Linked DNA regions of Schizosaccharomyces pombe. The protein of the gene in region 1 interacts with the protein of each later gene in a pairwise test. Each region holds a gene or a part of one and is shown on either strand. Other genes may lie near its edges. The genes, in order: rfp1 and hsp16.

What was found.
Region 2: the proteins of rfp1 (region 1) and hsp16 interact in a two-hybrid assay, tested with the Schizosaccharomyces pombe proteins (one study listed by BioGRID).

Annotation. Positions count from the first base shown.
Region 1 is NC_003424.3:2,464,869-2,469,603, forward strand, and holds rfp1 (SUMO-targeted ubiquitin-protein ligase subunit Rfp1), read right to left. Parts: upstream 2,442-4,735; 5' UTR 2,392-2,441; coding exon 1,627-2,391; 3' UTR 1,346-1,626; coding exon of another isoform or gene 1,245-1,345; 3' UTR 1,202-1,244; coding exon of another isoform or gene 1,010-1,201; 3' UTR 968-1,009; coding exon of another isoform or gene 578-967; 3' UTR 538-577; downstream 1-537. Other genes in the region: mRNA-decapping complex catalytic subunit Dcp2, read right to left, coding at 1-83; recombination protein Irc6, read left to right, coding at 480-537, 578-967, 1,010-1,201, 1,245-1,345; transport protein Yos1, read right to left, coding at 3,077-3,132, 3,175-3,276, 3,327-3,386, 3,424-3,451; nonsense-mediated decay protein Upf2, read right to left, coding at 3,926-4,735.
Region 2 is NC_003423.3:2,659,536-2,662,979, reverse strand, and holds hsp16 (heat shock protein Hsp16), read left to right. Parts: upstream 1-1,987; 5' UTR 1,988-2,058; coding exon 2,059-2,490; 3' UTR 2,491-2,841; downstream 2,842-3,444. Other genes in the region: ric8 (synembryn ric8-like protein), read left to right, coding at 1-142, 221-283, 330-492; SPOM_SPBC3E7.17 (uncharacterized protein), read right to left, coding at 1,002-1,184.

The DNA.
Region 1 (4,735 bases):
TGCTCCTCTGCTGGTAAATTCAAGATAAATCTAGCTGATAAATCATCCAGCACTTGCGAAAACGTGGCATTTGTGAACGACATATTTCTTTTAATATATAGTAGTCTATTGTTTGCATTTAAAATTCTAAGTCACTCCAAAGCACGACAAATTCGTCAACTTTAATTTTTGTGCGTCTTGGTATTTAAAGCCATTTATGCGTGTGCGTATAACACAGAGTTAGGGACACGTAAAATTACGTACCAACCTTCGTTAGTGATAAACTAAACCATTATTGATTTAGGAATGTATCACACTGCGCTATACTATTGCTCAATCCTTGTTTCATTAAACTGTTAGACTGTAGTTAAAATCACAATTTGCCTTACCTTTAGGTCTTTCGAGAATTTATTTATCCACCAAAAACTTGTTTAATATTCTACAGAACTGATTGAAAATATAAAAAAGCGAATTAATTTTTGCTAAGTACATAAAATCATATGCGAGTTATTTTGGTTATAGGTCGCTCTAATTCTGGAAAGCTAGATTTTATTAAGGGTAAATATTAGTGTTCTATTTGCAATTACTAATTGAAAAGCTTTGACGGGTTCTTTACCGAAGGGGTTAGATGACGAGGCATTTAACAATGATCATTCTGGCTTGATTCATAAGTATAATATCAGAAATAAATATTTTGAAGCTTCGGTTGGTATTTGGATTGAAGAATATTCTAATTTAGCTGAAACTTTGGATGCTTATAGTTCTGAAGAAGCGAAGGAAGTTATTGATAGCTTAGGTGCCATTGTATATACTTTTCGAAGTTTTGATGAAGCTGAGTGGTCTCTTTTTAAAAATTTTATAGATAAACTACAGCTAGAGATTCCGGTAATTGGGTTGCACATGTCAGATGAAAAATTACTAGAACCACCTGATGTGTTTACCCCAGAATATATTTCTATCAGCGAGGAAGGAGTGAATGAATTCAATGGTAAAGTCAACCAATCTTCTATTTATTAACAAGTCTCTTTAGAGAAAGTAGGACTGGACCGTGTTCGAGAAATTCTCGATTGCTGCGAATGGAACTTGTCACAAGTTGATAAAAGTTTCTCGGAAGAAAAGGATGATGCCGGAGATTTCTATCTCCCGGAACGATTCAAAGGAAGTCCAGACATGCAATCGACGGATCTGGATAATTTGATGAAAGAAATGAACCAAATTAGAGGTTGGTAACTCCTTGAGTCGACTAAACTAACAACGAAATTTAGATGCTGACCTGGAAAAAAATGAGAAAAAGGCCAAGGCTTTAAATCTTTTAGAAAAATTGTTAGGCGATGAATTCGAGGAAAATGATTATGAATCGCTGTAGAAACAAGGCCTTTGTTCGTATCCGGAGAATACATGTTGTCGCTGGAGCACAAATTGATGTATAATAACTATTTGAGTTTGCAAGAAAGGTTCAATTAAGTTTTATCAAAGTATTTTTTACTAAAATCTAAATCTGCTGTATTGAAAGAGGACCTATTAGCAACTTAAAAAAAATTCGTAAGTAAAGCTCAGTCACAAATTGTGATAATTTTGGTCGTATTTCATTATTATAGACATTATAAATCCAACACAATGGACTACATTTTCAATGTACAAGGTTCGTCAATAAAATAATTCCCACATGGCATTTTTCGTATTTAAATAACGGCCACAGTCATTCACTAGACATTTTGACTGAGATCGTTTACTGGTTTTCAAAACTTTTGCACAAGAGCCACAATAGACGTGACCACACTTTGTTGCCCATAATGCAGATTTCTCTTTGCTTTTGGATGTTCCTAATGGTTCCTGACATCTTGGACAAACCATCAATGTATCATTGTTAAAGCTTCTAGTAAATCCAGATTTTGGAGGGCCTGGAGGCTTGTAAGACTGTTTTATATTTTCTAAAGAAGAAGTAAAATCATCATATGATTCTTCAAAATGGTTAGAGAAATATTCGTCGTCTGAACCGTTAGTCCATTCTGGATGTATAGCGTCAAATCTCATTCGGTTCACAATCAACTGGAAAAGAGAAGGGGATAAGGAATTAACAGAACTAAACTCAGGAAATGTCCTGGCAATCATTCCCATCAAATCTCGACGTGAAGAAGAACGACGAGTGGACACCTGAGGACCTAAGTAAATCATGTCTTCCAAATACGATAAATGATTTGAAGGAAAGTTACGAGACCGTTCATTCCTTCTCCGGTTCATACGCCTTCTTCGAGGACTTAGAACAGGAGATGATGGAAAGCTGTCATCAGGAATAGCATCCAAATCAATGATATTTGTTGAAGAAATAGAAGTTTCGACTGGTGGAGAAGGTGATCTCGTCAAATCAATTACACTGCTTTCATCTATTCCATTGCTTCCATTAAATTGCATTGATGTGTGAAAAAAGATACACAATTGTTTCCTGTCAAGTAATTGACAACGGGCAAAAAATTAAGTCGATTTATTTGTATATATTTTGGCCTTGCATATATTAACGAAACGGTATTATTTAATATAAAGCTCTAATGTATTGCTGTATATCAAAATACCGCAGACCAACAGTTCGGTGCATTTTTAAGGCAATGTCCAGTATGCTTTATTATTTATAAACTAATGGCTAGTAAAGAAACGTAAATTAGAAGTCGCATTTCTTTGTTTACACATTATCTTTATAAAAAGGAAATGACCTTATGTGATAATTTACTGAGAAGATCAAACGCCAAAGAAGATATGGCGAATAGAGGAATTTTACGAGCTTAATTTAGCAAGAAGAACCAAAAAAATATGCCTCTAGTAGACGATATGGATTTTTTATTAAAGCACAGAAAATGAATTTAAAATACTAGACGATATTTGATAGTACAATTGTTGAAGAATTAGGATTGTATTTATTAAATCCGCTAGATTCTGAAGTTAAACTTTCACAAATGAGTAATTGGAACATCAGCGCTTGAATATCAAGTTCCTGTCTTGAATTTTTTTGAGTATAAATATGATAAATCAAATAATGGATAACACTGCTTTTAGACCAGCATCAAAAGCGAGCGACATTAACAAAGATTCGTAAAGCCTTTAATCATCCCAAGACGAGGTTATAAACAATAACAATCGTGTTTATGGCAATAAGAGGGACTAAAATTTAAAATTAGAAATTATAAAGTTTTTAATACTTACAAGTCATGACAGTTCTTATAGCTCGAATTAAATGCAAAATTCGGCTTTTGATAGTATCTTGTCGATCACCAAATCCCAGGGCAGCACTTTGGGACCATCCAACTATTTTCAATAATTAGAACAACATATTTGGTTAAAATTGTAGTTCATACTTCTTCCTAAAAATCTATCCTCTGAAAGAATAGCAACCGCGTTTAAAAGCAATAAAGTGACTAACAAATTAGAAAGCTGCGTTCAAAAACATCTTACCATATAATATATTTCCAAACCCAAACATAATGCTCGATACTTTTTAATACAATTGAAGTTCAATATTTTTTTTTAAAGGTTTTGGTAGTGATTTAATGCCAGAATACAGCAGCATATTACGTATCGTTATGCAAGTTATGGTTTTCACCTTTGACTGAAAGCAAAAAGACTTCTATAAATTAGAAATTTACATGTTAGATAATAAAAAATCTCCTGAAAATAATAATGTATCAATTTCTTAGCTTCGAACATATTATTAGTGAACTGTTCAGTGTTTTTCAATTGGTATTAATAAAGTATTGTACCTAATTAGCTTGCATATTTTAGAATGTAAATAATTAAAGAAGGCTACCATAGTAAATTGCAAGCTTTGATTTGGTAATGAAAAAGCTAAATATTATACAAAAGGTTCGTCTATTCTAGTTGTAAACGAAGCAGGTAATTTACCAGCAATGGCTTAGAATTTCGGTATTTAGAGGACGAAGATAAACAAGAGCTTCTCTTATTCGAAGTTCAAAACCATTTCTTTAACACGTTTCCGTTCCATTATTTCTTCAGTTTGCTGATTCTTGGTAGACCTGACCAACGAAGAATGCGAGGGAATCTCTAAATATTGAGAACGCTGTTTATTTCCCCTTTTGGTCAATAAAGTAAACATCACGTGCGACGATTCGCTAGCTGATTCCTCATTTCTTGTCACATATGGAGAGCCTAGGCTAGAAGCTCTAAGAGGAAGTGGAACATCAAATCCCGGATTTTTCTCATGCATACGAGTCAGTAAGCTTTCATTAGTTAGGCGCTCAAACTCTTCATCAAGCTCTCTACTTAATTGCATTTCGTTATCAATATCTTCGTCTTCACTATCCAACAGATCAGACTCTTCCAATCCCGATGATTCCTCGTCTGTTTCAGATTCATCTGATATATCTTCCGGCAGATAAACACTTTCTTCATTCGAGCTAATATCACCATCATTAGCACCCTGGAATACTGGACGTGTATCATCTTCTTCCCAATCATCAGAAATGGCCTGAAGCCTTTCCGTTAGAGCATTCCTGGCTTCCTCATAATGCATGTATACTTTCATGCTAGGTCGCACATATCCTATCACGTCTTCAAATTCATAAAGCATATCTAAAGGCATTTCTGGTTGAATGAGAAAATAACACTGATAAGCTAATAGATATGTAAGCATCGTCTTTTTCGTTTTTGAACGGATGATTGATGGTCCACAAGTCTGCAAAACTACAACAATAAGTCTTAATCGAAACATGTCATTGTTAATATTGGTTAATGTTGACGCTTTCATGGT
Region 2 (3,444 bases), on another chromosome or scaffold:
AAGAAAATACTGAAGAAAATAACCTTGCAATCGATCCTATTACTGGGAGTATGTGCACAAATAGAAATAAATCTCAAAGACTTGAGTTAAGCCAAGAAGAGAAAGAGCGAGAAGCAGAAAGATTATTCTATTTGTTTCAACGGTAAGTTTGTTTGTTTATTTATTTTTTTTTAAAAAAATACATATATATGTCTCGAGTATATTTGGCTGACGTTGGTAGCTTGGAAAAAAATAGTACTATTCAAGTTACTAATCCTATCCAACAAGCTGTAAATAGCGGCTTGTATGAGAAATTGGATGATAATGATTCTGATTAAAAAAAACTAAAGTATAGACGTTGTCTTTTGTCTTATTTTTCAAATGAGTTCGGAGAGTTTCATATATCATTGTTATCATAGTTTTGTTGGACCTATACATATTTTACTGTTAATGTTTTCCACTTTTAAATTTCATGAAATTCTTCATTTTATCAAAATTAGCAAAGCAAGTTAGTACGTCGTGTATTTTACATTGTCTAGTGAGTTGGTAAACTTCATTTGTATACCGTAAATGTCTATATTTTAACCGTCGGATATTGCAATTCGCATTATGCGGTATGTAATATGTAATGAGTTATTAAACGACATTATTTTTAGTAAGATTTTGATCATGTATTATTCGGTAGGTAAAAGACTTAAAAGAAGACGGCAGAATGGAAAGATGGAAGTAATATCATGATATTCGGCAGTCATTAGGCATAATTTGCAGTTTCCCCATCTTTTCTCATAGTTGTTTATTAGTAATTAATAATAAACTTTGTCAACAATTCAGGAAAGGGTTTGTTTATTGAAAAAAGAGCGATAGCTTCCGTCGTAAATTTTTCATTTGCTTTTCGAATGTAGTGGTTGAATCATGTTATAAACCTCAATATTTATTTTCCTTGCTAGAGAGTTAGCTACTTTTTTCTAAACTAAAGATTAAAACGACAGCTGTACGAAATTGACTTTACGATAATATAGATTTCATTGATATGCGCATGAATAGGAAAACTCATGTTGGGTAAATAATGACGTAGGTTTTTTGTTGTGAAAACTCTCCGTCTCCGCAAATCGTAAGCGACGGGATGTACCCCACAATTTTAAGGATCTTCCAATTGAGTCACTTGTGAAATTTATTGCGTAAATCAAACACTCTACCGTGAGCATTACTGCAATGATGGAAAAAACATCTAATATGAGGTGCGACGATACAGTAGAACGTCCGATTCCTTCAAATATATTTATTATTTGAATATTTAAAAAGTTAACAATCGCAGAAATTTGCGTAACTTAACCCAACAATTGTGTAAAGTAAAGGAATTAACTATTCATATTGCTATGCTTTTAACGTAGATATTGCAGAAGAACAATTTTATGACGAACAAGAGGAAGTCGCATAAGTTTTATAGATTTATGAAATGTTTTCAAGTGCATGAGCAACAATTGCGTGAATGCACAAAATACGTCTTTGCCAATAAAGCGCTCAAATCATAAGATTAGAAAGAAAAATTCTTACGTTATGGTTTATTTACAAATCTAAATGCGTCCTAAAAATTTTATTTTGGTTAGTTGACTACAAAGTAAAAAAAAAAATAAGGTAAAGGAAACGATATACAGTCAATGAAATGAGTATTTTTCTAACTCTACTAGAATGATTATTTTCTAGATCTCTCTAGAAAGATAGCACAGCCTTGCGTACCGAAGTTTATATTTGAATCTGCCTCGGTTGTGGCGCATAAGTGGCAAATTTGGACTTTTCTAGAGCAAGCACTAACGAACATCTAAGTCCACCCAATACAGAGTTTGAGTGTTAGCAAAAGACGCCGTTCCGAAAGTACAAACTCCGGCAAATTCGTGATCTTTCACAACGTTTACGAGAAAATTCGAGTCATCGTACAATATATGACATCCATCCCATTCCGTGCTTCCCAGAAAGGTATAAATAAGGGTACTCCTTCCGCTAGTCCAGCATCGAACAAATACAGATTTGAATTGAATTCATATAATTTCAAGTTACTCGCAATTGTTTAAATTTTAAAAAATGTCTTTGCAACCTTTTTTCGGCTTTCCCCCTACTGTCAACGACTTGTTCTCTGACTTTGTTAGTTACTCCCCTCGTTTGAACAACCAAATTCCTGGGGAGTTGTCTCCTTCGATTGATGTGCATGAGGGTAAAGACACTGTTAGCGTTGATGTAGAACTCCCTGGTGTTAAGAAAGAGGACGTTCAAGTCCATTATGATAGCGGAAAACTTACTATTTCTGGCGAAGTCGTCAATGAGAGAAAGAATGAAAGCACCGAGGGTAACCAACGCTGGTCAGAGCGTCGCTTTGGCTCATTCTCTCGTACCATTACTATTCCAGCCAAGATTGATGCAGATCGCATTGAGGCCAACTTCAGTAATGGCCTATTGACTGTCACCTTGCCCAAGGTCGAGAAGTCCCAAACTAAGAAACAAATTGCTATTAAGTAAAATCGTCTCTTCCGATTTTAATATGATAGTTTCGAAATGGTTATGAGACCAATCTTGTTGGATTGTGAGCATATATTATTGTTTGATTTAACAATCAATCATAACATATGCAATTAATGATCCGCTTGCCATTGGATTGATGAATTTTGATAATGAATTGAACACGGTCTTCTAAACAGTAAAAGAGCATTTAAATTCCACATCAAGCAATTTATGGCCAGCTGTCAGACAGTGTTTTAATGATCTTGACTACCACTTGTTACGATTCTCCAATGATGAGCAAGTGATCTCTAGCAATTTTTCAAAATAAATAAATAAATAAATATTTTTTTATTCCTAATTAGAAAACAAGTTGTTTCAAAATGCTCTATCGTAATATGTGTAGATTTATTTTTATTTTTTTCAAAAAAAAAGAACAGTATTATGTAGCTCCTAATGAATTAACAGGAGTTACATTAGCATATCATAAAGTTGTGTATGCTCTTTGAGTCTTAAATCACCGGGGCAATGAAATCGTCTTCCTTTTGCGGAGATCTGATAATATGCTCTTAACAATTTTTGGTTTTATTAGTGAGCCATAAGGTTTGTTTAAGCGGAAGTTTTGTGATTTCATGTTAGGGACAAGGGCTTCATAGATGTGTTCCTTTCTATTTTTATTCTTTATATTACTAGTTCATTGGTTCATGGACACGCTAACCTAAAAGTAGTTAAATCTCCTTGGCCTTGAGCGAGTGTTTCCATACTACCACTAATCCTTGGGTGATCCAATGTTTCCTATAAAAAAAAGTACACATAAATATATAGCCTAGGGTACCTTTCTTTTTCAGTAATCAACATACAGTTTAAAGTTAAGAATGTTATGGTTTTCGTGTGTGATTAAACCAAATTCTTGTTTGCTATAATATCTAGCTCTACAGTAAAGCCGAAAGCTCTTGTATTGCTATGGCTTTGTAA